4 linked regions of the Oreochromis niloticus genome follow. The protein of the gene in region 1 interacts with the protein of each later gene in a pairwise test. Links are inferred from orthologs where the notes say so. Each region holds a gene or a part of one and is shown in the gene's direction. Other genes may lie near its edges. The genes, in order: arl6ip1, snx12, myg1 and ndrg4.

Evidence for each region.
Region 2: the proteins of arl6ip1 (region 1) and snx12 interact in binary tests that used the Homo sapiens proteins (3 or more experiments, as listed by UniProt). The two-hybrid records come from large-scale screens. The link is inferred for Oreochromis niloticus from reciprocal best matches to the Homo sapiens genes ARL6IP1 and SNX12.
Region 3: the proteins of arl6ip1 (region 1) and myg1 interact in binary tests that used the Homo sapiens proteins (3 or more experiments, as listed by UniProt). The two-hybrid records come from large-scale screens. The link is inferred for Oreochromis niloticus from reciprocal best matches to the Homo sapiens genes ARL6IP1 and MYG1.
Region 4: the proteins of arl6ip1 (region 1) and ndrg4 interact in binary tests that used the Homo sapiens proteins (3 or more experiments, as listed by UniProt). The two-hybrid records come from large-scale screens. The link is inferred for Oreochromis niloticus from reciprocal best matches to the Homo sapiens genes ARL6IP1 and NDRG4.

What each region holds. Positions count from the first base shown.
Region 1 is NC_031969.2:32,733,586-32,740,998, forward strand, and holds the start of arl6ip1 (ADP-ribosylation factor-like protein 6-interacting protein 1), read left to right. Parts: upstream 1-4,410; 5' UTR 4,411-4,540; coding exon 4,541-4,576; intron 4,577-5,352; coding exon 5,353-5,486; intron 5,487-7,163; coding exon 7,164-7,283; intron 7,284-7,413. UniProt on the Homo sapiens protein: Positively regulates SLC1A1/EAAC1-mediated glutamate transport by increasing its affinity for glutamate in a PKC activity-dependent manner.
Region 2 is NC_031975.2:19,206,752-19,214,497, reverse strand, and holds snx12 (sorting nexin-12), read left to right. Parts: upstream 1-4,739; 5' UTR 4,740-4,954; coding exon 4,955-5,119; intron 5,120-6,582; coding exon 6,583-6,678; intron 6,679-6,957; coding exon 6,958-7,082; intron 7,083-7,398; coding exon 7,399-7,501; 3' UTR 7,502-7,516; downstream 7,517-7,746. Other genes in the region: uncharacterized protein LOC109203860, read left to right, coding at 2,350-2,410, 2,868-3,110. UniProt on the Homo sapiens protein: May be involved in several stages of intracellular trafficking.
Region 3 is NC_031970.2:5,668,017-5,675,740, reverse strand, and holds the start of myg1 (MYG1 exonuclease), read left to right. Parts: upstream 1-4,714; 5' UTR 4,715-4,779; coding exon 4,780-5,064; intron 5,065-6,584; coding exon 6,585-6,697; intron 6,698-7,724. UniProt on the Homo sapiens protein: 3'-5' RNA exonuclease which cleaves in situ on specific transcripts in both nucleus and mitochondrion. Involved in regulating spatially segregated organellar RNA processing, acts as a coordinator of nucleo-mitochondrial crosstalk.
Region 4 is NC_031972.2:4,222,173-4,229,679, forward strand, and holds the start of ndrg4 (protein NDRG4), read left to right. Parts: upstream 1-4,485; 5' UTR 4,486-4,640; intron 4,641-7,507. UniProt on the Homo sapiens protein: Contributes to the maintenance of intracerebral BDNF levels within the normal range, which is necessary for the preservation of spatial learning and the resistance to neuronal cell death caused by ischemic stress.

The sequences.
Region 1 (7,413 bases):
TTTGTTGTGAAGTGCTGGAAGGCATGTTTAACTTTTTTAAATTGTTCTTTATGCTTAAATAAAAGTCTGCAAAAGCAATTAAAGTAAATATAAAATTTTAAAAAAAAATCGAAAAATTAAATAAATTTTAAAAATGTGTGTGGAATAAAGTACTGTACAAGTAAAGATCCAAAGTAAAAATATATTAAACAAAAATGTAGAATTACGTTAAAAAAAAAATAATCTTAAAATACTTTAACTTAAATTAAAAAACAAGATTAGTGTAAAAATAAAGACACTATTATACGGGTTAAAATCAATAAATAAAAATAAAACAATAGTATAAAAGGTAGGAGTAGGAAAACCTGTACAGACAGTATTTGTTCCTACAATTATGCCGACAGCTCCCTGATCCTGAACAGCAGCTGAAGAAATTCTCACTGAGGTAAGATAACTTTTAGAAATCTTTCAGGATGTGGTTACGGTTCGACAACAAGAACTTTTCTCATAAAACGCTTCCGCTGCTAATAACCAAATATTCTGATGCAATGGTAGACGTTATAAAACTGGCAGTGTCTGAAGATTATTAGCTACTACCTGTTTAAAGCCTCAGACTGTCACAGGTGTGTCATTAAATCCGTTTCTCGCACTCTTTTTGTTTTTTGTTGACACGGGTTTGTTTGAAGCTTCGGTTCTCCGCAGGCTGGAGCAGCCTCTGAACCGGTTACCACACGCTGTGGGGGCCGGTGTGCGTCTCCGCTCGTGTTTAACGTGAATTCTTCTTCATTTGATCTGAATTTATTACCGCTAACAGTAATTTTTTGGCGCACTAACACGTGCGACATAACAGGCCCGCTGTTGCGCCTGATTGTTAAATAAGCTCAATTATGATGACTAGCGCCAACAGAACCGAAGTGATACGCAGATATATATATATATATATATATATATATATATATATATATATATTAAAGGAGTAAATGCAGCTTCTCTGACATTTGGTTTCCTTACCAACTGGCGAATGTAACGCCATGTTTCTAAAGGCCTCTCAACACACAGCGAAGCTAATATAGCTAACGTGTTTGATACGTACCAGCTTGTTCTCCGGGCGGGGGCGAAGAGAAAACGGCGTCTGAGATAATTTGGCGGTTAATAAGGTCCCTTACAATCACACGATCACAGAAATTAGATTATAATAACAGTGTCTTTAAAACAATGCAGAGATAAAGAAACGCTGCTAGCTCCGTTAGCTTTCAGATAGCCCCTCTGGTCTCCAACCGCAGGAAGAACGAGACTCACAGTGACGTCAGAAGCACGCAGGCGCGGATAAAGACTGACGCGTTCAGGTTCTGAAAGACAGAACCATATTCACAAAACAAAACAAAAACTACACCGTTCTGTCGTTATCCCCAATACATGAAAGTCTGGAACCGGCTGTTTGCAAAGTCCGAGTCTCTGATCCTATGGGTATCATCCAGTAGGCACTGCATACCTTGGATGGAGCCAGCTTTATAGTCCTCTGAATGTCGATCCTGCTCCCTCTAAAGGTGTGCTTGCCTGGGTGGCCTTGCAGGTCAGCTGCAGTCCTTCAGACACATCCGTCATCATCCGTTCCGTGTCGATAAAATCCAAATAGGAAGGGAGTCAAATCCTTGGAAGTTGCAATCCAGCAGGAAACAGACAAATGCTTTGACGTTATAATCCAACAAAAATAAGCAGAAAAAAGGCCAAAAAATATATAAATCCAATTTGTGAGTCCACAGTATTGCACTTTGATCAGCTGGCGTTTTTTGCTGTAATTTCCAACTGTGAATTCCCAATCCCAGATCTTCTGATACTGAAACTAGAGGAAGAACAGCTTATTCCGTCTGCATGGGGTGTTTGTGCATGTTCTTCTTCTCTATCCTCCCCTCCTTGATCTCCACGAGACATCTATGACACCTACATCACTCTATGCTGCTCTCTCTCTACAGCCTTTCAAATACATGATTTAAAGCAAAGTTCAGTCACTTTCATTATCAGTCACAAATGACTATACTTTACTTTTCATTCAGTTTTTATGTTGTTGTAGGATGAACATCATCACTCTTTATGATTCTAACTTGATCTCTTTTTAACTCAGTTAGGAATACTTTTTCTCTGCATGACTCGGCATTTGTGACTCACAGTATACTCAGTATCACTTGTTTTGTTCAGAATCATGCATGATGATGGGCCGGAGTCACATTTCACTCTTTTACACGCACACTCTATCCACTGTGCTCTCTCTCTCTCTCTCCCACACACACACACACACACATACACACTGAGTCAAGGATACATCATAGTCATAACAATGCTCCTGGAATCTGGGTGAAAAAAATCAGGCATCTCAAAAACTGAAATTTGGATTGTAAGGGACGTTATTACGCTAAACTCAAACTACAGTTCTCATTCATTATATTGATCAGACTTATACTTGATTATTTTCTGATTATAATTATAAATCATTAACTGTTTCAAAATCATGTACTCTGTTTTAAAACTCAGTGTGTCTTTAACAATAAAGGAGCTGGATGTTAAGTCCTTTTACTCCACTTTTTGGTAAAGATGAGCCTGGGATGTCAAATCTCTTTGACATTATTTATATATAGATCAGAACATGAGTTTATTTTATGAAGAATTTACAAAAATATGAGGAGAAATGTATTGAGAACATAATTTCTTATAGGCCTAACTAGGTTTGTGTCCTTTGAGTGCCAAAAACAGAAGACAAGCTGCATCTCTCTCCTTTTTAAAATGTTCAATACAGTTCTGTTACTCCCCCTTCCTTCTGTCTTAACACAAGGCTGGAATAAATTATTTTCATGCTGTCTATGTCTATGTGACATGTTAAGAGGATGAACGAGGACAGTGATGAGGGGTCCTGAGGTGTGCAGGCATGAGATTCAAGGTGGGGGAGATCACAGGGTCATGGACTATGATGTTTACAGACAACATTGTGATTTGTAGTGAGAGTAGGGAGGAATGCTTTACACGTGTGTGAATGAGGGAGACGGACGTAACAGTAGCATGATCTGACATCTTGGCGTTGTTCCTACATCATCATAACGATGGTGGTCCAAGATCAGCGTCACAACTGACCAGTGATGTTGTCTGAGCGTGCAGTTAGCATTAAATGACGGTGGCTAACACTAAACCAGAATTGATCATATATTTATTGTATTGTATAAATTGTATAAAAACACTTGGACTGCAGACCATTTGTTCCAGAAGAAAGTTTTATATAAACAAAGGAATTTAAAAAAAAATCCTATCATATTGCAAAACTATGACAACAACATGATTCATTAGTTGCAATGTTGATCAACATTATTATGATAATGTAGGTACAACACCAAGGCGTAGAGATAGAGGTCACAGCAGAGGATGTAAAGAAGCTGGATTATCACGTGAAGAAACAAAGCAAGACCTTCCTGTAGTGAACTAGTTTCCTTTCATTTTACAATACTGATTTCTTTTTAATTTATAAAATCTCCCAAATTAAAATAAATGGTAGTTTTCATTAACCTGATAACATTTCAAGTTTCTACTTGTCCCAGAAGACCGAGGTGGATGTGGAATTTAAAAATGATCTTTATCCTGTAGAGGGGGCTGTTTAATGGCTTTTGGACTGTGTTAACGCGCTGCAGATACTTCATTACAAACTTTAAACTGTAATAAAATGCAATAAAAAACGTGTATTTTCTCAGCAGAAAGTGTCAGTAAAGCGCAAAAATGAGCATGCCTTTAATTTTAATGGTGACATCATTTCTGTAACGCTTTTTTCAATAAAAGTAAAGAGAAACTTATAATTTTTTTTGATATTTTCTCAAAGTTTTCTTTCTTTTTTCCTCTTTAAAAATGGGATTTAACTTTATTCTTAAAATGCCAAATTAAAATAAGCTCCTGTAATGCTTCCTTTTTCTTAATGTGTTTAGCTGTTGTTCATTTAAAATGAATTTAAAATGCTGCGTTACATTTTAAATTCTATTTTTTGTTGTTAAATTTGAAATGGTGTACTCTGTTACGTATATGCTCTATTATGCAGTAACTTAATATTTTTAATTTAAAAGTATGCTTTAACTCTCTTGGATTTCATATCAGATTGTATCTTATTAAATTATTATTAATGTATTAATCTTTCGCTTTAGCTAATTAGCTAACACTTCTTTGTAGTTATATTAATTTGTTCTTATGAATATGGGAAGTTTAAAGAATAATAAATAATTTTTGAATATATTCATTGTCATTTTTTATTTTATCTTGATAAAATTTATGATTGTGAATAAAAGATTATGTAAAAAAAAAAAAAAAAAGATGTTTTCGACAGGCAAGGATCAATATTGGAACTCCATTACCCAGAGTGCCTCTATGGACAGGTGTGACGTATGTTTTTCAGTTAAAAACATCCTGCCTCGGCTCGACCGTTAGTGGCGCTGAAGCTAACGGGAGCGGAGGGTGCTGTCCTTCTGTGGGTCGTTTCTCCGAAAACTCTTAAAAGAACTCCACATTAGAAAGTAGACCGCTCAGTTTAGCGATAATGGCGGAAGGAGACAACAAAAGCATGAACTTGATGGTAAGTATGAAGCATTTTTAAAACCCACAATGGCGAATTTAAAGGCTCGTGTTCGATGTAGGCGTGTTTGCAGCAGGAGCGTTAGCCTTACCCGTCGCTGCTAATCTGACGGCGCTAACACTACTGCGCTGTTTAGAGATTTGTGTAAATAGTGTGAACTTTACACATGCGGGCAGCTGAGAAGTCTAAGCTAAGCGATTTAACCCCGATCGCTTATCCGTCCGTGCTGCCGCTGACCGCAGCTAACCTTAGCTAGCTGACTAGTTAGCATGCTTATTTTAGCTTCAGTAGCGGGGACGCTTCCTTTTTGTGGAGCTGCTGCCTCGCCCTAACGCAGAAATCATTTTAAAGCTTTTAAAAAAAAACTGAGATCGAGTCATCACACGCTCATTCGACGTGGTTTGACAGCCTGTGTTTGTCCCCGGTTATTTCTACGTGTAGTGCTCTGTCACTGCGCCGTCTTATCACCAAAGACACACACCCTGTTTATTAATTTGCTTCTCAAATAGACTTCTAGGCCACAAAACACACAAACTGAGAGCCATATAAACGAGTATCGTTACATTCAGTTGCTCTGTGTATGAAACACAGCAGGATAAACCCACATCATATGACTTCAAAGGTGCTAGCCGCTCTTCCAGAGGCAGCACAGTACTGTCACCTTTATACTAACTCCTGGAGAGACTGCCCTCCTGAGTACACGCTCCTCTCAGATCACACTGATATCACACAGTTTGATGGTCAGTTAGGTAATGTGTAAATGTTTGTGTGTTCAGGCCCAGGAGACGGCCCAGCTGGAGGAGCAGCTGCAGTGCTGGCGAGAGGTGATCCTGGCTGGGGATCAGGTCCTGCGCTGGGAGAAGCCCTGGTTCCCCGGAGCGCTGATGGGTGCGACCACCGTGCTCTTCCTGTGAGTCTGCTACAGAGTGTGCGCTACACAGCTGGCACCACACGTTTCCTTCCTCTCAGCAGTGATGGCTATCTGAGAGCAGGGAGAGGCTTATATTAAATTTTTATATTTTACATCTGCCAGCGACTAAAAGCAGCCTGGTTTGAACTCAGATGGGCTGAGCAAAGTAAACCACTGTAGCATTTCTCATATTTGTTTCTTCCAGTATAGAGAGGTTTATTCTGAAACCCCCAGTAAAGCTAACAGCACACAGTGTTATGTCTTTGGTCAGCTATCTTCCTGATTTAATCAGCAGTCTGATGGTTGGTTGACCAAAGATTTGCATCACAGTATTTTACGATTCTGGTGGATTCCATGGATTTATTTTTTTTGTAGTATATTTTGTTTAAGTGGGTCTTTATGTAGTTTTACCTTCTTCTGTCAGGAGTATAAATTATTCAAAAACTACTTTAAGTATTTGACATAGGGCTATAATCACATCATAACTGTAAGTCTTTTCTGTTTTTGGGTTGGTTGTAATGTCACTTTTTCTTACAACTGTTGTGTACAGGTGATTCTGTCTCCAGGTGAAATCTCCTCTCTTGGAGTATCTCCCCTCGTTTTTCATCCTTCATCTGTCTGTACTGCACAGAGGCCTTCCTGTCTGCTAACATACTGCTAGAATTGCGCAGCAGCTCTAAATGGTGTAATTTAGGATGTGTAACGTGTTAGTGGTGCACAGCAGCCATTTCTATGTTTGCTCTGTTGAACTGAGTTAGCTTTGGAGTTTTGTCTGCTTTTGTAAACGTAAATGAGTCGTATAATTACAACCATGAGTGAGCAGGGTGCAGAGCTAATACAGGTCCACTTTCAGTGTGCTGCTTGTGGTCAACACACGCGCACACACACACGCACACTCTGGCTCTTATTAAAACCACTAGAAAAACCACGGTAGACATTTTAACTGTTTATTGTAGTGTTCAAGCTCAGACCATGATGTTGTCAGAGGAGCGCCACCCGGCACTGCAATTACAAAACTGCTAACCAACAGCCTCAGTTGTTTTTAGATCGATGAACCGAAGAAATCCAAAATGACAATAATTTTGTCTGTTAAACTTGACAAGTCGCACAACTCTCTTTCAGACACTTGTGCTCTTGGTTAGTAAAGCAGGCGTCACCACAGAAAGAACAGCAGTGTAACCGTCCCTCGGGGTGAAATGGAGGCTTTGGCAGGCTGATTCTGGCATTGAGTTTTGACTTATTACTAATTAAGATGATCAGCAGGCCTGTGACAAGTAATATAAGCCTACAGTGATGTAAAACCAGTGTCCTAATTACAGTTTTCCAGCTGGTTGTCAGAACACTCAGATTAATGTTAATCTTTTCCACACTGTTGAAACACAAAGCAAAACAATGCAGATTCTGCTAAATGAGCTTAGGTTGGGCCGTTATTAGCGATTCCTGAAATCTACTGAAGGTGAATCCAGACTAGAACACTGCTGCACTGTTTCTGATGCCTTCCTGCTTGTTTCACACACCCTCAGTGTTCATGTCTTTCAGCTGCAGGTGCTTTGTAAAACTGCAGCTCCAGCGTTCATGAGCAGATATCCCCAAATTGTAACAAAATAAAAATAAAGGCGTGATTTTAAACGATGAAATGTTCAAACCCGTTCTGCCTGTTTTGTGTTCGTCCTCCAGGCTCATCTACTACTTGGACCCATCAGTGCTGACCGGCCTGTCCTGCACCGTCATGCTGCTCTGCCTGGCTGACTATTTGGTGCCGACCCTCGCCCCCCGAGTGTTTGGCTCCAATAAGTGGTGAGAGCTCGGTCATATTTGCTTTGGCCCAATGAAGACAGGTTTTCCTGTTTTGTCAGTCGGTCACATCACACACTCTTTATGGGAAGCTGAACAGCAGGATGAGTCATGCATTCATCTTGAAATGGTG
Region 2 (7,746 bases), on another chromosome or scaffold:
TTTGAAAACACAGTTAAAAGTAAAAAATGTATGTCCTTGTTCATATTTTTCAAAATCATCCAGTGGGCCATATTGGAGCCTTCGCCTGGCCGATTCTGGCACTCAAGCCTTATGTTTGAGACCCCAGACTTACTGTATCAGTACAGTAAATGTAAACAAATAATTAACAATTAATATATCCAGTGTGAACTAGTGTATAAAATCTAGGCTGCAAAAAAACATCAACCAAACACAAATGCAGATCACTCGTCCAAAACGAGTGCAAACGAGTGACCCAGAGAAAAGATTAAAGATCGTTTTTAGATTGTATCAAAGGCTTGTTGTCTTGTGGAAAGTTTCCATTGCACAACATCTGACAGATCTCACACAACCCAGGAAACACACAACATTTCTGAAGGCAGAAGACCACAGTACACGACAAGTACTTGTTATTTTTGGCAGTAAAATATTACAGAGTTACTTTATTTCAAGCAGAATAACTTCCAATAACCTTTGTCTTGCATACGGCTCTTGTCACTTTTCTGTTATTTTGAAAGAGAGGGAATTACATGAGATACTGTCCATTACATAGAGATGCCTACAAGACTAAATTCTGTTCCAGGAAGATGTGCTTTGATCAAAGATCCCTTCTAAATGATCTGCAATCATGCAAAGTTACAAACATTCCTTTTTTAATTACTGTTACCATTGCTGATTCTCATTTGTCAGTACAGACATCAAACCATTACACATTTTTCACCGTATATTCATCATAAATTGCTGAACCACCTTCATCACAACCCTGGTTATCCCACGATTTATTAGGATCAGCTCATAGATCATTTGGATGTATTTTACAACTCTATGACTGCTTCTCTAAACAAATTAACAACAACATATACCTATAACAATAAATGCACAGGGAAATTACTTTACTGTCGCTAAATTTCATAATATGGATGCTGATAACCAAGATCTAGCTTTGAAACGCTTACTATCTTCAAAACTACACATTACTTATTTGATCTATAAAAGTCTGCCGTTAAATAACCTTCAAATAATACAAAAAGGAAAAAGCTTGACGTTAAACACACCTGTGAAGTAAGCTAAGCCCACAAAGTTTCCTTCCAGAAACACTGAAACAAATTAACCAGCAAAGCAATCAAAGAACAGAATTTACAGATAATGCAATGTGTTACACGCTGTGCATTTGGGAAATAAAGTTCCCGAAGTATATGTGACACGGACAGCGGCAGACTCAAAGAATATTTTAGATCAGCAATTTGACTCAATCTGAGGCCACTCTGTTGTTTAGGCCTGTCAGAACATCAGAATATCATTACATCAGTAAGGACACACAGTGTAAAAATGTGCCAAACATGTAGAGCTCCCTGCTGTGGCGATCACTTGTGAATATGGGGGATTATTAGGTTCCACATGACTACCATTAATTGTCTTTAAAGATGGTTGGAGAGACAGATTGCATTTTTAATTAATCAAAAGCTATGTATGTGTTATGGGATATTAGTATTTTATTTCTAAAGATCACAGTTATCATCCATCTACGGGGTGGACTGGATCTGGAGCGTGTTGCACCTTTATATTGGATGATCTTTGTTAGATTTGTATAGTTGATTGTCATTTATGCTTAGAAATATCTACTCATATATATGCTTAGAGTTTTATAATCAATGTCATGTTGGTAGAGGTTTGATCCTTAATAGTCTGCAAAGGCATTGTGTGCATTCCAGAGTGTTCTGGCATTCACACCCACATTCTGGGAGCACGGGAGAGGTTATATCTGCTCTTACTGATATATGGTATAGCAAACACACGTATATCAGTTTTAGTCTAAGTGCTTTTTGTTTAGATGAACTGCTGGACTTCCAGACCAGCAGGTTTAGGGAAGTCTTTATGGGGTCACACTCTGACCCCCCCCCCCCCACACACACACACATGCACACACACACACATACTTACACAACGCACAGGCAAGGTACTCTTTGTGTGTATGTAGACGTCATATGTTAATGAACCTATGTATATTCATGTAACCTCAATAAAAGAGCAGTGTTACGGGGGAGCGGACGAGAGCAACTGGGGTCAAGCGAAGGAACGGTGTTTGTCCGGTTCTCTCCCGTGCACGAGAAACATAAAGAACTTTGCCTACTCGTGTCTTGCTTTGCTGTGTAATTACATTGTCTTCAACGTTCCAGCGAATAGGGTTAAGCTACAAACCTATCAATCTTGACCTTAATGTCAAAAGCTGTCTGCCAGCCACGCTCAGTTGGAGTTCTGAAACCAACAAAGTCTAATGCAGTTGTTGCATTGTTAATTTGAATGCTAAAGATTTCCTTACCTCCCATACAGGCTCAGAATCATCCTCGTTCCCGTGGTTCCCAAGCCATCTCCATTCCTGCATAACATCGAGGTCAGTGGCATCCAGAGTTCTGTCCACTCCCTGAAAGTTTTATGTAGATGTTAATATGAAGTTGGAAAGCTATTGAAGTTACTGGAAGAATTAAATGACAGATGAGCTTCTTAATGGATTTTAGTAGCTTTAATGTTAACACTTACATTAAGATTCATGACAATTAGTTCAGTAGCTGTTTATTTATGTCATTGACTAGACCGTGCTGGCACTAAAGAACAGCTGGGTTTACATCTTCTGGATACCTTGAATGTCTGTAGATGTTCAGGCAGTCAGTTTAACAGATTTTAAGATCTCTGGATCAAGAGCTGGATCAAGAGTTGGACCAAAAGTCTGACAATAGTGCCACTTAATGGCTAAAAATAGAAATACTCTTGTGTTTGAGTGATTTTAGTTGTCGAACTCTGGGGAAGCAATTACTCGTTACAAGTGAGGGTCTTTTTCTCTCTTTTTTAAGGATTGGTTTCAGTTCTCCAAGGGCCTGAAAGACAATTTTAAACCGAACTACAACGAGCGTGCGTGCCCTGTGCGTGAGTACAACTATGTCTCCCAGTCTGATGTGGTGAGCTCCGACGGCTCCACCTGCTCTGTCACCACCGACCAAACCGACTGCTCCATCGAACAAGATCCAGAAGACCTGTCCGCCCCCATTCCCTCTAACCCAGTTTCATCTGAGGAGGTGCAAAAAGCTTCCGTTTAGGAGCCATGTTTGGATTTCACAAACATGAATCAAAAAACCTCCTGCATGACTGCAAGAGATACCTTAATTTGACTAAATAAACGGTATGCCCAATAGTTACTATCAGAAGAACCCCAATAATTGGTTCAGGAACCTAATTTGATCAATGCTTGTTATAGAGGTAAAACCAAAGCATGCGATTAAGATTTTAGAAGTAAATAAAGTTCATAAAGAGTTTAATATGTTTTTAAAATCCTTCAGCTCAGAAGTATTTACGGTTACTCTTGAAAACATTGTTTAGACTCTAAATATTTGACTAATTGATGCTTTGATGTACGCATAATCCTTTGTTGACTTCCTACATGAGCACCAGGAACAATCCCTCAAACTGGGGGTTTTTTTCATTTGAATCATTTTTTTCTATTTTTGTTTTCTTTTTAAAGCAGGAACGATTCTTGAAGTGTTCATTTGGAGAGACACAGTATTGTGTCCCGTAAGCTGAGCTGAAAGTAATTACATATTAATACATACAAGCCCAACTTTACTCAGTGGAAAGTAAGGAGTTTAACTTAAGTAGTGCAGCTACCACCTCGAGGAAAAGATAAGATAAGATAAGATAACCTTTATTAGTCCCACACGTGGGAAATTTGTTTTGTCATAGCAGGAAGTGGACAGTGCAAAAGTTATGAAGTGAATTGTGGGTTTTCTTATTGAAAACCCACAATAAGAATAAGTAAAGGTCTTTGTGCTTCAGGGCAGCTTACAGTAGCTTTTTTATTCTACTGTGAAAACTGAGCTTGGAAATATTATTATATTTTTGATAAACATTCACATTTTGAGGTTACTGAAAAAAGTGTAGAAATATATACTTACATACTTTGCTCAATAATCTTTTTTGTCACATGTAAACCGTTAAAACTGTAGAATAAGCAGGGAACAGCAAACACTCCCTGCAGATTTGGACAATTTGAAAACATGATATCTTACTATTTTTAACCAAACACCTTACTGTTAATGTTACAGTATATGTATGAATGATACAATCGTTTACGTACTCGCTACGTCCAGATGAACAGATTCAACTTTTGGAGACTCGCTAATAGTGTTATTGTAAAACTTATGCCGAAAATGTTTTGTAACAGACAAACAAATAGATGTGTTTGGCCATCATTCATACTCTCCTAATATCACACTTTGTCTTTAGTTAACAACCAAATTATCATTTTGTTGATTTAAAAAAAAAATCTTTTTATCATTTTTATAAACATGTGTAACTGCTGTGCTCTTTCTAAGGGTTTAAAAACATTGAAAAACAATAATTTTCTCTACCTGTATACAAATATAACTTCAATGATATCTATTTAAAACAATTTTGTTGTACTTTTTCTTTGCCTTAATGTTTTTTGTTACCTTTATTTTTGTGTCATATATATTTTTTGCTAGCTTGCACATTACCTCCCTCTGGCCCTTGTACGTCTCTACTTCTGTTTTTAAAAAATAAATAAATAAATACAAATAATGTGTTTTGTTTTGTGTTTTTTCATCAAAACTTCAGTCCTGTGAATTGCTCTGGGTATAAAGGAAACTCAGTACAATCAGCAATATCTGTGTGTCCATTAGAGGGAGTGCGGAGTGTCCCGCACAGTACGGAACTGAGTCAACGCATTTTTCTGATTCAAGAAGGGTAGGGCGCAAGGCGGCTGGCCCCCGCAAAGAGAGCTACACAAGTCGGCTACTTCCCCAGCTGAAGCGGTCGGCTATCGAAATCAGTTGATGCCTTCAGATGACATTTAAGACTTCACTGTGTATTTAGTTGGTTTGACGCTCATTCTCCGTTGGTCGTCTAAAAATCACAACCCGACAAAATGTCAGATCCTGTGGTGGCCGATACTCGCCGGTTGAATTCCAAGCCCCAGGACCTGACTGATGCTTACGGTCCCCCCAGCAATTTCCTGGAGATAGACGTTTATGATCCACAAATCGTTGGAGTCGGACGGGGCCGTTACACAACTTACGAAGTTCGCATGAGGGTAGGTATCGAGGCGTAAACCTCAAACACCTTGCAGCATTAGCTTTTGGCGCTAAGCTAACTCTTAATAATTACAGTGCCGATGCTAGCCAGTTAGCCACTTAGCAGCTAGGGTCACCGTGCCGTGACGTTGTCGCTATTCGTCGTAGAGTAGCTCGAGGTAGGGCGCGAGTAAAAATCGAGCAGCTGGGACTGTCAGCGGCCTAGCTGACATGTAGAAGTTTCTTGAAGGTATGCTAAGGTGCAATTACGGGAATGTAAGCAGTGTCACTAGTTCAAAGTCAGTACTGTAGTTAATTTTCTCCTCAGCTAACAGTATTGTTTGTGAGCTAGTCTGCGTTAAGTAAAAGGAAACTGAATAACACATTAAAACAAAACCAGGAATTTCCAGCAGACTCCGGGAAGCTAACTGCTAGCTATATGTGATAATGCGCTGTAAAGAAAATTAAGACTGATTTAATGTCACATTGTTTGTCTGTCTGGATTTCTAGAGCTAAATACATCAGTGGATAGTATGTGGATATATGAAGGAGTAACTAAACGTTATTCCTTCATATTCTTCGACAGTTTGATCTTGATATTCAGAGAAAAGCTGAATGAAAAAGGCTAACAGTGTTGGTGTTTTTCTAAAAACGGTAGAACAAAACGCATAAAAGTGTTTTGTGATTATTGAAATATGAAGAGGTCGAGTTAAATGTTGGATTTTTCTCTATAGTATTGCAAGGTAGTTTACGTTACTCTGTAAAGTGGCTTTTACTTGACTGTTGTGAAATTGTGTAAGTCAAATTTAATGTAACAGTTACAAGTTTTAACTAACTTGTTCACTAGAAAGACGGCTAAGCTTAAAAGAATGTGAGACGTAGGAAATCACTAACACAGCTAAATCTAAGGACATTTCAGGAAGCTGATTCAGTGACACAGTACAGACGCACTATAATTGTGTAATTGAATGTTAACGTGCCTCCCTTTCCTGCAAATCATCATTTTGTGCCACTGCGGAGAGTCTGCCTTGCACAATATGAACAACTTACTGTTCTCAGTGCTTGAAAATTGTAATAGACCATGGTAGGGGAGGTTGGGTCAGGGGCCTGTGGTTAACTAATAACTGCCAAAAAGCCATATCAGTCCAGTTAAGATTTGATTTCTCACTGGGCTCAATAGTGGAAAGCAGAGGGTCGCTGCAATCATAATCTATGCTTTTACAAGTGGCTTTAATTGCTTTTCAAATAAACACAGTATAGATTTATTTTTTTCTGTACAGAACAAACCTTTGCCAGTGATTAGCAGAGCTGATTTGAAGCCAGATAAAAGACAAGTTAAAACTTTTGGTGAAATAGGGGAAGAAAAATGATAATAGTTGGAAATGTAGTGCAGGTCTGTTCCTTACATGTCAGTTGCTATCTCATGCAGATGGTTGAATTTCAAATTAACCAACATGTTTTGTTTTTTGCCTTCTCTTTGTAGACGAACCTTCCCATTTTCAAATTAAAGGACTCCTGTGTGAGGAGAAGATACAGCGACTTTGAGTGGTTAAAGAATGAGCTGGAAAGAGACAGTAAGGTGAGTGAATAATAATTAACAGTGCAAGTGCAGGGATTGCATTGTGTGACTTGACCATGTAAAATAAGTAATCTGATTATTATTATTTTCTGAAATGAAAATATGGTGATTAAAATGTTTACATGCACTTGCACGGCTATTCTACATAAAATTGTTATGAGGGCCCAGATTTGCCAGTGTAAATGTCTACAGTTTTGACTTTGTTTCATGTTGAGTGTGGACTTTTTTTTTTCTTTCTTTCTTTTCCCTGTTCTTTGTGTCGACCCCTGCCTCCTTCAGATTGTAGTACCACCTCTGCCGGGCAAGGCCCTGAAGAGACAGTTGCCCTTTCGCAGTGATGAGGGTCTTTTTGACGAGTCGTTCATTGAGGAGCGAAGATCGGGCCTGGAGCAGTTTATCAACAGGTCAGTTAGTCACAAAATTACATTATAGACGGGAGTCTTGGGTGGAGGGAGACGTGAGCAAGACTTCATTGTGTTTTTTCTATCGCTGAACTTGTATCAAAGCTATTGCTGTTGTTTCTTTAGGTTTTTCTATCCACTTTAGTGAGCTGTTTGTTGTCAAAACTGTGTAGCCCAACACAAGGCTTAATCTAATCTGTGCCTGGGAAAGGAGAACCAAGCAACAAATCCATGGCTCCTTTTCCCCAGCATTCGTGAAAAGCATTTTAAAATGAGCAGAGAGTGAGTTTACAATGTTTCTTTCTGTGTTTCTGTATAGAATTGCAGGTCACCCCTTGGCCCAGAACGAGCGCTGTCTTCACATGTTTCTTCAAGAGGAAACCATTGACCGTAACTACATTCCTGGAAAAGTACGACACTAGGATTATTGAGGGATACGGGCAGTTGGGGGTTAAAATGTTGGGGCTGTAGAACGGACTGCCTCTTGCCTTCTCTTCCCTCCTAACTTCTCTTAATCTCTCTCTTTGTCTGTCTCTCTGTCTCTCTTTCTTTCACTCTGTGGATATTATTACAAAGTCATATTGTCTTTATCTTGGAGTTAGAGCATGAACTTCGGCAACACACACAACATGTTGACGATGTTTCAGACAACTGTGACTCCTCTCTT
Region 3 (7,724 bases), on another chromosome or scaffold:
TAAAGCTGGAAGCAGCAGATCACAGGCACTGTGACGTTTTCTGGGTCACCACCCACAACTGTATCTCATGGTTTGAGACAAGCCAATGGGGAACAGTAAAGCTGGGTGGTCAGCAGTATAACGAGGCTGGATAAGAAAAAAAAAAAAATCTTCATCTTGTTTATTTCAGTTTTTTGTGACCATGACTCATTTCTTTTCTGGGAACAGGTAGAGGCAGCTGTGCCCCATGCAGAAGTCAAGAAACAAGAACTGGATCTTCCCTTTTTAATTTAAAATTTCCTTTCAGAGATTTGCTGTGATTTTGGCATTGGTAACAATGAAAAAAAAAACCCATATCTGCTTTAATTGTATGTCCTCAGTAGTTACTGTTTCTTCTCACCACGTTTGTTCTGAAAAAATAACTTTGGAACTCATTACATTTTGCCAAAAAAGGAGTTCTTGCAAAAGTTTTTTTTAAAAAAAATCCATTAATATTAATTTTGCTACAAAGTACAGCACTACACACATTTATACTTTCTCTTATATTTTGCATTTTGCACCAGACTTGTTTGTATTTTTTAAAGTGGTCTTGATCATAGGTTTTTAAGTCTTTCTGAAGCCTTTCAAAGTTTTTCTTTGGATGGACACTGACTGCTTTTTCACTCATTTTCAGTCCAGTCCTTGTTCTTGATCATTTTCATCTTTTTGCTTGTTTGTTTGTTAAATCCCATAATACAAATCACTAAAGCATAAAAATGCACTTAAGACAATTGATGAACCACTGTTTTATCTACACATAACAGACAACTTGGCAAAGAACCAATTTTAAATTGTATTATTAGGCACTCGGTTACTAACAGCCTGTAACAAAGACACAGTTTGTTCCTCTTGCTTTAGTCGAATTTATGACACTATAGAAAGATGACACGTTTGACAGGCATGAAATCATATTTTTGCAACAAGGTGATTCCCAAAGCGCTCTTATGTGATCTTGCAGAAAACCTGGTGTATCTGAGCATGAGGTGCAGTGTGTTCTTAAAAAATTTGAGGAACCTGGCCAAGAAGAGGACAATGAAGAAGTGGCAGACCTAAAAAACTCTACTTCAGATGGGACGTTTTTCCATTTTTCAGCATGATAATGCAGCAGTCACCAAATACACAGGTACACAGGTTATGGTAATTACCTACTTGACCAACTCACATATTAGCTGTATTAAGAATCACTAACTTAACTGAAAAAAAGGAGTCCCATAAAACTAAGATGGAGAAGGACTCACCAGTTAGGTCAGGAGTGAGCTGTCCATGGTACTGTTTAGAGGCTACAAAGTCCAAAAGCAATAATGCACCAAATACACTCAGTATACCTGGCAGCATGGACAGAAATAAGACGATGCTTAAATGTTCACAGGTAAAAACAAAACAAAAACACAACAAAATAACTAAATTCATTGTAAATGTTTAGCCTTGTGATATCCTGCCCAGGGTTTACCCTGCCTTTTGCCCTATGACTATGGATGGATGGACAATTGGACGTTTTATTTTTCCATTTAAACTGAAACAGCTGAATGTCTCCTTGGCATAGGATGGTAAATGCCAAAATGTTATTTCTATACATTTTCCTGATCCCAGAAATACACTCATTTAACCTTTTGATCACTGTGCTTTTCCCTGAAATGAGAACATAAAGGATCGGACTGGTTTTTTCCCCACCTTTAAAACAGACTGATAGGCATAACTTCTTACATTAACCATGTTCTTTCACCCATTATTTCATTCATTCATTTTTAGTACCACACATATAGCATATTTAATAAAGCTTTAACAGCATATAATATAGTATTATATATGCAATTGCGAGTGCTTGAGTTCTATTAATAGTATGGCTGTTTAATGATTTGGAGGTGAGCACGACGTTTGTTTGTTTGTTTTCTGTTTGTCTCATATCCTTTAAATCTCTCCGAGTAGAGCTCCGTTTCTGCGGGACACTTAAAAAAATCCCCCTTAGTCTTCCATAAAATACAAGTTGTGTATTTTGAGGAATAACATTGGGGCTTCAGAGGAAATACATAGAATGATGGAGTGTGGGCGTCGACTGCTTAAGTCCCTTTACAGGAGAAACCCTACACCGGCCTCTCTGTGGACTCCCCCACTCCAAGTCAATGTTTATCGATTTCATTAGGCTGAAATAAAGACTTGCCAACGTGCCCGCTGAACTGGTGACACAGACGATGAAGCAACTTGGTTAAATGACTGGGACACAGCGCCACCTGGTGGTTCGACCTCAGACAAACATCGCAGCAAATATTCTCTGACTGTATTTACCGTTTTAAATGTGTCAGACTTCATGACTCATTGTCCCCATATTAAGGGAACATCTGCATTGCTAAGCAGCTGCAGTATGAATTGATGCCAGTGATACATTTGCATGCGATCATTAAAACTGGACAGGAAGAATATATTACCAACATCGAGAGAATGAATGAGGCTCTGCAGGAAGCAGGCTGTGCATTCATAACGCTAATACAAAATCCTACCTTTTGCAGGCTTGCTGTTTGGTTTCCGCTGGTAGATCGGTTTGTAAAGCAGGAAAGAGCAGCGGTTTTTCACACGGGAAAGCCCTTTAACCGTGCTACCTCCGTTCAGCCCTGCTGCTACTACTGGGGTCCCATCTGGCTAATTACCTTGTCAATAAACCTTGAAGGTAATACCGCGAGAACGAGAGTTGGGGGTGAGCGCTGATCCTGACCCTCACTAATGATCCCATCCCAATTCCAGCATGGCAGGAAAAACAGTCCAAGGCAATAACTCAAGGTTTCAATAATATTTATGCACGTGTCCATTCATATTAAAAACCTGTCACTGTATTGTAGATTTCATTTAAAAAGGAACAACAGTTCGTTGCGCCTCAAGGTGTAAAACAGTGTAGAACAAAGCTGACCAGGAAAATGTTTATATGCATTTATATTTATATGTATTTATTCATATGCACATGTCTAATGCACTAACCTTTTTACTGTGATGAGACTCTTCTGTTGTGTGCATCTTTTTTGTTGACATTATCCTTGAGATGGAAACTGGACAGTGATTGGATGTAATTTAGAAAGACACACACCCATGAGCTTTTCTCAGGACAAACACTAAGCCATCAATCTCCAAAGATGACTTTATCTACTCTAATGAAAGTGTGGCGAAGTGTGCGGGGCAAAGGGTAGAAAACCTTTTCTTGTGTCATCCCAGCAGGAACAGTGGCCTAAATAACTGTGAAAGGAAAAAAAACAAAAAGGTTTGTAACCACCAAGATCTCAGGTTGCACTAAAAATGCACAAAGCTGTGAATGGCTGAAAATAAGACAAATGGACTTTCACCTCATCCAAGAGGTTTTTTCAGTTTTAAAATAACTGATGGAGAGTCCCAAGTATTTAATACATAGTGGAGGCGTCAACCTGGAGGAGATCCTATGGGATAACCCAGCTAGGTGTTAAACCTGGAGTCTCCATCAGTTGTAGAACTGAAGATTCCTCTTGAATGAGAGATACAACGTCTTCACAGACAAAAAATGCACAGCCTGTCACAGTGTCTGTGTTGCTTTTTATTTGATCTTCTTGTTCTATCGGCTGCTCATCTCATCTCAGCATGTCTTCCTTCGCTACATCTATGAACCTTCTCTGCGTTCAACCTGTTTTCCTCCTGCCTACATATCCATCTTCAGGATCCACTGAATAGTGTAAACTATCCCTCTTCTGTACATGTCCAAACAGTCTCAGTCTTGCCTCAGTAACTTTGTGTCCAAGATGCTCAACCTCAGCCCCATCACATTTCTGTATTTTACCTTCTTGCTTCTGTTTCTTAGATTTAAAGTGTGCATGTTATTATTTTCTAATGCCATTTCCCTACTCTTTTGCACAATCTCTGTCTCATTTCTTTTACATTTTTCTTTAACTTCATTTTTTTTTATTTTCATCACTGCTGTATATATCAAATAGTGCTAAACATTAAAAATAGATATGAGATTATTTTTATTTATTTATTGCACTACCTCACACTATAGGCCTGAAAGTCTTCATCTCTGCCTCTTGTCATTTTGTCACTGCCACCTTCTCTATCCATACATCACAGCACATCTCATTACAATCTTGTAAACTTTTCCTTTAAATCTTGCTACCATCCTTCTCTCACAAATCACCCCTGACTCTACACCCTCTCCACCCTGCCTGCACTCTCTGCTTCACCTTTCTTGTGTACTGTCCCCTGCTTTTGATAGTTGACCTCAGGCATTTAAACTATTCCACCTTCACTTCACCTCCTTGTATCTTTTCTTGCCTCTCTCATTGACAAAAATCTATTTTGTATGAGAATACGAAACAGTGAATCCTTGTAAATTTAACATAATTATTTTTTATTATTATGTAATTGTAGAATATATTTTTTAATAAAATAAATCATGTACAGTAGTACATAATTAACCATTTGTGCATTATACAGTGTCCAAGTCCTGCTTTTTTTTTTTTTTTTTTAACCCTGCAGCGTCCTCTGCTGTACACAAGTTGAGTTATCATTCTCCTGTAAACGAGCTTCTCCGATAATATAATCGCTCTGATTACCTGTGTTGTTGTCACCTGTGTTGTTTATCACTGTCTGCGTGAGTAATTTAAGCCCATAAAGGCAAACAACACAACGGTAACAATGGTGACAACAACAAAAATGTTACCCGGCATTTTTAGTTCTCTAAACAGGAGCACCACATCCGGTCCGGCTGTCAAATGTGTCCGCCACTGGCGCGTCTCGTGGATTACTCTTTGAATGTTGGTCGTGCGTGTTTTTTCGTTGGCGCTTAAATTAACAAAAAATAGATATTTTCTGGTAACGAGTGAAGCAGCAAGTGTGTCACGAAAGGTATTCTCGCGGTTTAGCTGCTTTAGTTCGCCCGTGCACTTTGCTAAAGGAGAAACGCGCTACATGTCAAGTGAGCCGAAGAGACTCTGCACCGAAAACATGACCGTTACAAAGATCGGAACCCACAACGGGACCTTCCACTGCGACGAGGTTCTGGCTTGTTTCTTCCTCCGGCAGCTACCCGAGTACTCGGTGGGTGCAGCACGCTGCAGATTGATGGAAACATGTTTGGGGTTATTGCTAACTCCATGCTGTGCGTTTAATTTTTTAATGTAATCACTGTGCTCATCGTTACTAGCTAGGTAGAATTTAAATCCTCCCAGGAAGTCCTCACCGTAAGGATAAAGCCACATCTGCATTTTAGGAAAAAACAATTAATCTTGTAATCTTCTGTTGACGGGTCCAGTGTTATGCAAAAAAAAAAAAAAAAAAAAAAACACACCAAAAGGGGGCGCTGTGTGTAAACGGATAGCAAAAACGATTACAGCATAAGCCGTTGTATGGTGAATATGTCACACATTTCAGTGTTATGGTCTGAAACTGAAAATACAGTTTTTGTGTGTGTGTATAGCCAGCTTTGCAGAGCATTTGAGTGAATTTTTTAAATAATAGTTAATCTCAACCTAATGGCACCTTTTGTCTCTAAATGGTACAATACTTAATATGGGTGATAAAATAATATTGATCAGATACAATACTGATCAGAGATTTGCTGCACTGCCCTAATAAAATCTGTGACCAAACCCAGGTTATAACCTGTCGTAGCTGTACCGTTGTTTTGTGGCACTGTATTGTTTATATTTGTAATTTTTATAATTTATATTAGTAACATAAATACCATATTTGATTACCTCTGCACGTCTGTGATTTATGCGTAGTTTAACAGAAACATTTTGATGACATATCTGAATTGACATATACTTTATACAGTCAAAGCTTAAAGGTTGGACCTCCAAACACAGTGCTGGGCTTCTATGGTCTAATTTTTCATGTGTTTTTTTTCTTTTCCCTCTGATGAGATTGTTGTAATGGTCTTTTAACAGGTATCAATCAGAAAGCATTAAATCAACTTCAGATGGTGAAAAATGCAGCAGCCTGACTTCTTAGAAGAACCAGGAACACTGAACATATTACGCCACTCTTAATGACTCTACATTGGCAGGCCATTACTTCTAGAACTGATTTTCAGATTATAGTCATTACTTTTAAAGCCCTTAATGACCTGGGCCCAGAATATATACTAAAACTACTGTTCCCGTACCAAACACCAAGCAGCCTCAGATGCTCAGGCAGAAACGTGTTAACTGTTCCCACCTCACATTTGAAGACTAAAGGTGATCGAGGGTTTGCTCTTTGGTCTCTTTAGTTGTTGAATGACAGTATCTTCTGCTCTCTGTCTTCATTAGTGTCTTCTTTTAAATCCTTGTTTTTAAAAAATAAATTTGATATAAAATGAGATTGTGTATGTTTTTCTTTCGATATTCTTTTATCATCCTGTTCTTTTAGATTTGCTAATTTGACGTTTTTCATTACATTTCGAGTCTTATATGCCTTAATATTTATTTATTTGTAATTTCTTTTTAATTTCATGCTAGTTTGTTTTTTTTATCCTGTGTTTCTGGAAAGTAAAGTGTTATACAAGTAAACAAATAATAAAATAATTATTATTATTAATTTATTTTGACATATATTTCTTTCTGTTTGTTGCACAGGATGGAGAAATCGTTCGCACCAGGGACCCTGCACAGCTGGCGGAGTGTGACATTGTTGTGGACGTTGGGGGAGAGTTTGACCCAAAGAGGCACCGCTATGACCACCATCAGAGGTGCAGTTCTGGCAGTAAGCTGCTGAAAAGAGAGAAATTTATAGCTGTAGATTTCTAAAATATTATGTACTCTGAACTAAGACTGGGGGAGAGATTAATCTTCACTGTTCATCAACAGTAAGGGTCAGGATCATATCACAGATTAATTTTATGCCAGCTGAAAAATTGCATTTCAAGTTTAAGATTAAACTCTTGTTTAGTCCCAAGTGCTGAAAAAAACTCGGTGTTGCATTTTATTACATAAACAAATGTTGTTAGAAACATTATGGCCCAATCAGATTAGTGGTGTGACGATATCGGCCAAAATGAGCTATTCATGTTTTCTGTCTGTATCGGTAGTTTTAAGGATCAATAAAAGAAAGTTTTAAAAGGTAAAGAAGATACAGGAGAAACACCACTCAGCCATGTTATGAGTGTTGATGTTACATAGTTTTTCCAACAGAGGGAAAACTCTATTTCCCTGTCGGCCACTCTGTTTAGGTTTTATTTTTCTAAAAGTAAAAACGGCTGACATATCAGATTATTGGATTTTGAAATTGCCAAATATTGGTATCAGACTTAACAATCCTATATCGGCCAGACTCTAATATACGTATGTACCAATGGAAGGAAGCGTAATCTTTAAAGTCTCCAGTCACTTCCAAGCACTGAGGTGCACCATCTCCAGCAAGCCAAAATAATTTATTGGAATTATTACGCCTGGATTTTTCCCGCTTTAACATCGTCAACGTACAGCCTTTGGGATTTCTTTTCATTATCTGAGCTCTAATGATGAGGAACTACATTTCTGGGTGGCTTCTGCTCTGACATCTTTGAAGCACCCTGATTGCATGAATCATAAAGTAACAGGCTCTGTTTTTTGTGTAGAATTTCTTCCTGATGATTGCATTCACTCGACGTCTCATCACGTTGAGTAATCAGCCTATTCCAGGTGTCTTGTCAGCTTAATGTCCTGATGATAATCAGCCATAGCTTTTATGACCACTGCGATAAAGATATGCCAGGGCTCTCTTCCTCGCAGGCGGTT
Region 4 (7,507 bases), on another chromosome or scaffold:
AAAAACTTGTGAACCACAATGAAATCATGTTCACAGCTGGTACAAAACTGGCCTATATGAAGAGTTTCTCCCTTAATAACAACTTTATGCTGGGTGATTTTTTTTAGTGGTTTACTCAAAAACAATGATGTCATGTGAACTGGGTACGGGGTACACCTGTCGTCTATAACCCAAAGTGTTTTCACTGTACAGCTGGTGCCAGAAAAACAACCAAAGAAATTATAATTACTAAAGACTTGTGTTAATAAAGGAACAAAGTTTGTGCTTAAAGTACATTTAAAACTTAAAGTCATCTGATGATAATCGTGATTACTGCCACAGAGTCTAATGTCTAAACACATTTGCAGAAACATCAACTATCTAATAACAAAATATGTCCCACTACCCAGAATCAAAGCGATCTGTAATACAGTCTAAAGTCAGATAAAGTGATCACATAACAAACTGTTCTGCATTTTGTTATTACTGTGAACTCTGTATGAGAGGGCAGACCGAATATTAATACAGTAATTACTCCCATTTACAAAACCTTCTTTATACTGTCCTGCCAAATAGATATTTTTTGAAAAACAGGCCTGAGTTGCCCACCAGCACTCCACACCCTCACCCTCACCCCCCTCCTCGCTCCCTCCTCCTCCTCAAATATGACTCATCTGTGTGAAATCTTAATTCGTCCTCAGGTGGCACTAAAACGAATGAAGGTAACTTGGTGGGGGTAATTTGTTGAAGTGTATTGTTGATGAATTGTGCAATGTATCAAATACTGCAGAAAGGCTGTATTTACCTTACAACTTTGCTCAATAATAACCACTTATATGATGCTGAATTGTTCCATCTCTTGTGGCATCTCTGATTTGTGATTCTGGGCTATTAAAATAAAACTGAGCTGACTTTTGTGGCAAATAAAATCATTGCAATTAAAACGCCTCAGCTTATTAGTGGCATTGCTGTAAATGCTCTCTACTGCAACAAAACAGAAAAGTGGCTTCTATCTGAGGTCTGAAAGAAAGGAGAATCTCATCACAAGCATGATATGGATGCCAAATCTGCTAAATGCTCTAAATTTGCATGTGATGACGTAAATTGGACTCACATATGTTTTTAAAAGCTCTATCTGTATCACATTTAGTGCTTTATAGAATGACACAGCATAGCTTTACATAATGACGGTCTGAGTCATGCATCCCTTTAAACTGAATACATTAAATTTAGATTGGATTCAGAGGGATTCTTAAATGCTGCTCAATCAAGATGAGTTACATAGCAGAGAGTGCGTTGGCGAGCTCGCCATCGGTTTGGACCTGCTGTGTAACAGGTCAGCTCAGGGTTTGCTACATAGGTTATACTGTCTGTGATACTAAGAAGATTCTCATCCTGCCCTGACAGATCAGATGATCCTCATCCTTTAGTTGCTTCCTATTTTATTTTCTAACCAGTTATTTACAATCCAACAATGACGACCACAGTCCTACAGCCTAGCAACAGCAAACATTTGATGAAAGCGCTCTGACAGCGAGGTTTTGGGAGCTGCCTGTAGACACAGATGCTTGTGATTAGATCATAAATGTCAATTGTTTCAACTAAAATGTGATATGTATTTTCTGTTGTTATCTAATATTTTCTATTGAGAATGATATCATGTTAAACAGCCACACGGTTTTGGTAGCAAGTAATAATATATGTGTACATGGAGTATGATTACAGGCAGTGTTTAATGTTAAGTTTTTGGTACTGTCATTATGTGTCTCATTATGTCTTTCAACAAACTGATGCATTCTCATAAATACTAAAAATTAACAAATATAATAAATGCATAATTGTATTAATTAAAAACTACACAGGATAAGGCTGGTTTGTTGAATACAGTGGTCGAATACAGTCTTATGCATGTGGCCAGACACCGGCCACAAACGCAGAACACTGAAGCCGGAGGAGAAGAGAACTCGTAGGCATGTTCGTGCCGTGGAGGCATATTTTATTTCGTCTCTGCACCTTCAGATTCAAGTTATGCAGGACCATACCCATATTTTATCATCTGACATAAAACGTCAGCAAAAAGGTGAAAACGCGAGGAAAGAGACGCCGACACCAGCACCTGAATACCTGAATACCACGTGATCCTCTTCCTCCCACCTCATCTTCTGAACTGAAGTCAGGGCTTTATCACAAACATTATTTATTAATTATTCCTGATACTGTCACAATTACTTATTGTCAGCAAATTAGACATACAACCGTCCCGACTTCGAACAGCTGCACGAGGTAAATGTGATGTATTTGATCTCTCTTGACCAAAACATGTTTGTCCTACAGCGGCCACCGTAGCTACGATTATGTGCTTGAATGTGGAGGTAAGATAACAGGATTCACTTGACTGCGATCTGTAATGCACTGACATCTAGCGGTGAGATTTTACGCACTGTAACTTTAACAGATTACTACTGATAAACTATGTGTTACATTACAGCTTCACCTTATGAGAAGAGTAACTTACTCTACCTTTAAGTGAAATGATTTAGTCATATCAAGTTGATATTTGCAGCCTTTCCTTTATCACGTAAACAGCAGCAGGGATGTTAATTCTCCCACAGAGGGACAGCTTCTGCCAAACTAAAAGTTTAGCCATTGCTGGAATGCTGGCATCATTCTCCTCCTTAGTTTGCTTCAAGTGTTGTGGGTGCTGTGATCCTCGTGCAGGTGCTTCTTCATAATCTCATTAGGGCTCTTAATGCACACGACAGACGTACGAGCACTGTGCCTTAAATCTACTTTCTTGCTAATGGCCAACAGATGGTGTCTGGGTGTAAAGGGAAATTCCTCGTTGGCTCTTACCTGCTCCGTGACCCTGCGTTTGCCATCTTATTGAATGAAACGTACTTTAGATTTAGCCTATTACGGTCGGGTACCTCAGGCTACGCTTGGATTCCAAAACACAGAGATGACAATGCCAAAAACATGGAACCAAAAGGAACAGCAAATGGTTTCTAAAAGTAAAGAAACAGAAAAAATGAAGCTGGAAACTAATGCTTAATGTTACTAGTTTTAACAAAAAGTAATTAGAGAGCTATGATGAGTTTCTTTTCAATGCCTCATCACTCACACTGGTGTTTGCTTCATCTGTGATTGTCTCTAATGGTTAGGCACATCAATTTCTGGTAACATCACAAATGTGAGTCGTGATTCAGATGTCAGGAAACAGGTCGGAGCTACCCAAATCTTCGAATGTTTAAACAATATCAGGCTCTGTTTATTCTTGGGCCGGCAGCGATGTAAGGTGCCCAAAAAAGGGGATTATGTGACCGTCCCATATGCTCTCCAATCCTGTAAACAACACACTCCCAACACACTCCCAACTCTGGAACACGGGGTTAGAGATGGAAGGTGGACAAGTTTAAATTGCAGGCCTAAACACAATCTTTTCTTATAAACAAGCCTTACTGTATTCATAGCAAAGCTGAAGTCAGTACTCTACCAGAGACACATGGATGATGCAGCTATCAGTGCCCCTATCACTTCATGCCCCAGTTGCCCAAACATGGTAAGCTCCTTTGACGCTTGCTTTACCCAGACAAAATAGCTCTTCTGTTTGCCTGTGGGCTGTTGGGTTGAGTGTGTGTGCGTTTGTGTGTGTCTGTGGGCGTGAAGACGTCTGAGAGCCGTGTCAGAATTGGACATTCAGAAAAGGATATGTTCTTCCAGATTTGGATGAATGTATTTTTGTTGCCTGGTTTCAAAATCCCGAGTAAATTCAAAGCTTGCGAGCTCTGGGCTGCAGAACGGCACCGGTGCAGAGCCTGGCTGGTTTTATAGGTACAATTTACACATGTGTCACATGTAGGCAAAGAAAAACTAAACAATGACACATTTACAGACTCTTAGTAGTTCTCTCGAGAACCACTAATCGAAAAAACACGAGTAAATTAAATCATTTATCACAGAACATTAAAGGCAGGAAACAGATCGTGTTGAGTAAAGATATGTACGGCTTTATCTTTATGAGGCTTAGATTTACAATCAGAATAATGTTTGGCACTTATTTAAACTTAATGTCAATGAATGTCATTCAAACACGCTTGTGTGTTGTTATATGCCCCTCCCCCTGCACACAGACACAGTAGCGCAGGCACTGTAGTCATCCATATGACCTCTGACTCTGCAGTGCACCTACTCATGTGTCCTGCAACACACCTGGAGAGTCTGAAGCAGATCAGATGACTGGTTGTTGAAACTGGTGAGGAAAAAGAGAGATTTCTGGATTTTTCGTATGACGAACAAGACGGACGTTCCCACGCCTTCCTTTTAACCAGACTCACTTTGTTATATTTTTACCAGCGTCTTTCTCATCCTTCACTTCTCTCCTCGCTTCTCGGTGCTGTGATTGTCAGCGTGCTGCATCATTGGTGAAGCCACGTGCTCTGTGTTTATCATCAGGAGGGGGAGGGAGATAGAGGGAGGGAGGGTGAGAGAGCTCTTTCTCTCTCATTTCTAGTGCGACCACAGGAAGACACACACACACACACATTCACGCACAAACACTCTGAGACGTACACTCAGCCAGTCTGTAGCAGCCTGAGGGACGGACACAGAAAACACGGCGACACCAGACTTTGCGGCCACAGAAGCTCTGAACAACACTACAGGTACCGTAAAGCTTTGTCTGCCTGGATTGTAATATTTATTCAACAGTTTCTACCCGAGTGGCAAACAGTCATTTGCAGGTGAACTCTTTGAGAAGCTTCGTGTTTTGACTCTACCCTCAGATTTGAGCTCGGATGCAGTGAGGCTGCTTTGTGTTTGAGGACTAGAGGAGGAGGATGTTAAAATGAGGACGGGAATTTTGGCACGGTGTATGTGAATGCTGCTGCTGAAGCTTTGTGCTTTATACTTTTTCTCTCTCTCTCTCACACACACACATACACACCCCTGTTGCCAGCCTCTGCATTGGCGAGAACAGGATGTCAAGAGGTTGAATTTATTGACCCCACAGGAACCAAAGTGCGACATTTAGAAAACCAGACAGGATTATTATTATGTATTAAACCCAAAGCCTTTGCATTTATATTGTATTTTCCTGTGTTGGGAAGTGGGATTATAAAGTTGTAGTTTAAAAAAAAAGTCTTGATGCTTTTAATGATCATCTGATTCTGATGTGTCTGACTTTGGCAATGGCAGGGGAGGGAGCGATGCGTGCTAAAGAAAACAATGCTGGATTTGAAGGAGACTGAGTCAGCTGGATGATGAATCGACAGTAGGTGGAAGTCATAAAAGTTGATTGAATCTGGTGCAGGCTTGTGTTAGTGGTGCCCTGAAAGTGCCTGCATTTGGCTCAGTGGTCTTGGCAGGACCTGACAGATTAGAATCATAAGGCATCGGGGCATCGTGGTCAAAATAAAGAGGCTGGGTGATCGCATTTAAAAACTAAAGAACCATATAAGACAACATTAACGTATATGCAGATTTGATCAGGACAGTGAGGTTTGTTGCGTCACACCAGCAGTAGAATGAACAGATGAACAGATTAAAGTGCATTTTTCATATCCTTAAAAAAGCAACAGTGTTGATGTCCCATTTTTATTTGGACCTCTTACATAATTTCTCTGTAGGATCAGCAACTGCTCTCCACTTATCATTTTCTTGCAATGCATCTTTTGCTATGTTCAGATTTCAAGCTACTATGAAACTTATTGACTCGTATTTTTCCTGCTGTTTCTTGAGAACATGAAACAGCCGCTGAAGCCGAGCTGGTCTCCCCTTCGGGAGCGGGTCTGTTTCTCAGCTCGCAGTTTATAAATAGATTTACAAAGAGCAATACGCTCCTGCTCTTGTTCATCACGAGCTACACAGCAATGCTAGCTCACACCAGTTAGTCCATATTTGGCCAGAGGGGTTTTTTGGGGATATAGATTAATTACATTATTCCAGAATTTTCTACAAGTATGAACAACATGAGTTAAAATCTTGCTGAATTTCCAATGGAAGAGATGCAGTTTTGGGTTTTTCTTTTAAATCATGTCACCTACTGCTACTATACCCCGATTAACAGCTCATAATTTTTCGTAATTTTACTGCTCCCTACATCCAACTCACTGTGTATTGCACTACAACTCAAAGTAAAAAGGTTACTATCCCTATAAGCACAATAAGGGTTACTATGTGTCCAAAATGGCAATAAGATACGAGCGATCCTGCTTCCATGTTTCACCTGCTGGTTCTAGCCACAGGTTCCAGCTCTTTACATCTTGTTGACTTCACGAAAATCAAAGGTATTGGGGAAATTTCACAGCCAGATGAAAAATTTAAGACAACCTCTCAGATAAACAAAGCATATGAAGTAGTAGGAAAGTCCCAGTACCAAGCCGTAAGTCAGAGGAGCTTTAAAAGCTAGCAAGAAGCCACTGCTTAGGAAGCTATCTGCATATATCTGCATCTGCATATCAAACATACAATTGCACATGCATAAGGCGCAGATATAATTCATTAAGGACTTAACACTGACCAGACCATCCAGGGTTAGACTTAGTGTTGTTGATGTTGTTATTTAATTACATGCTAAATGGAAAAATGCTTTATAAACTAGAAGATGATAGATTTTAAAGTCACATAACAAATGGACATTGCAGTCACATGAATCTTTTAACCTTTTCTATTTGTTCACCTTGAACTGAAGATCAAGGTAGGAGGTGAAGTTTTCTAACAATCTTATGAAGACCCTAAATAGGAAAAGATCTCACGTAGAATTTTCAAATTTATGTCAAACGTGCGTCTACTGGGAGGCTGAGGGATAGCACTGGTGATATTTTTGCTATTGTCAGCATAAACTTCAAGGGGTTTCACACCTTAAAGACCTTTTAGCCACAAGTTGATCTTCATAAAGCACCGACTAGTTCAAATCACAATACTTTGGTCACAAGTAAATTGCTTGAAACAAAGCAAAGAGAAAAGTTTGACTTTTGGATGGGGATTACTTTATTACTTTGAATTAATAGATAACAGATAGAGTGCTGAAGTCAGAGGCTACATGTTGTGAGATTTGACAGTGTGGTTACGTGGTGATCTCTTCTCTAAAATACAAGACAAACGCATGAAATCACATACTGCTGAAATTATGCTTCTAGAACGTTTAACTACTTAGTAAGGAAGGCTAAATGGCTAATTCCCCAATTTTAACCTCTGAGCAGAACTTAAACTGACTGTGAGGTGCGTAGCAGTCACATCAGCTCTCAATATACCACTCGACTACACACTTTTATTCTGTTAAGACATTTCCTTAGACAAAACAGTAAGATTAACCTAAATTTCAGATGGGGGTAACAAAACTGTCCCTTAGAAGAGATGTCGGGTATGTGAGGCTTTCATTGCTCGCTTTCTGGTTCCTTCTGTTTGGAAACAACTCTTCTTGCTCTTTGGGTTCTTTGCACCGCTCCACAGGCCACCGCTCCCCCCATCTCCCTCCCCCCAGTGGCATTTTCAATAGCTAGACAATGAGACTGGCACTGAGAGCGAGCCA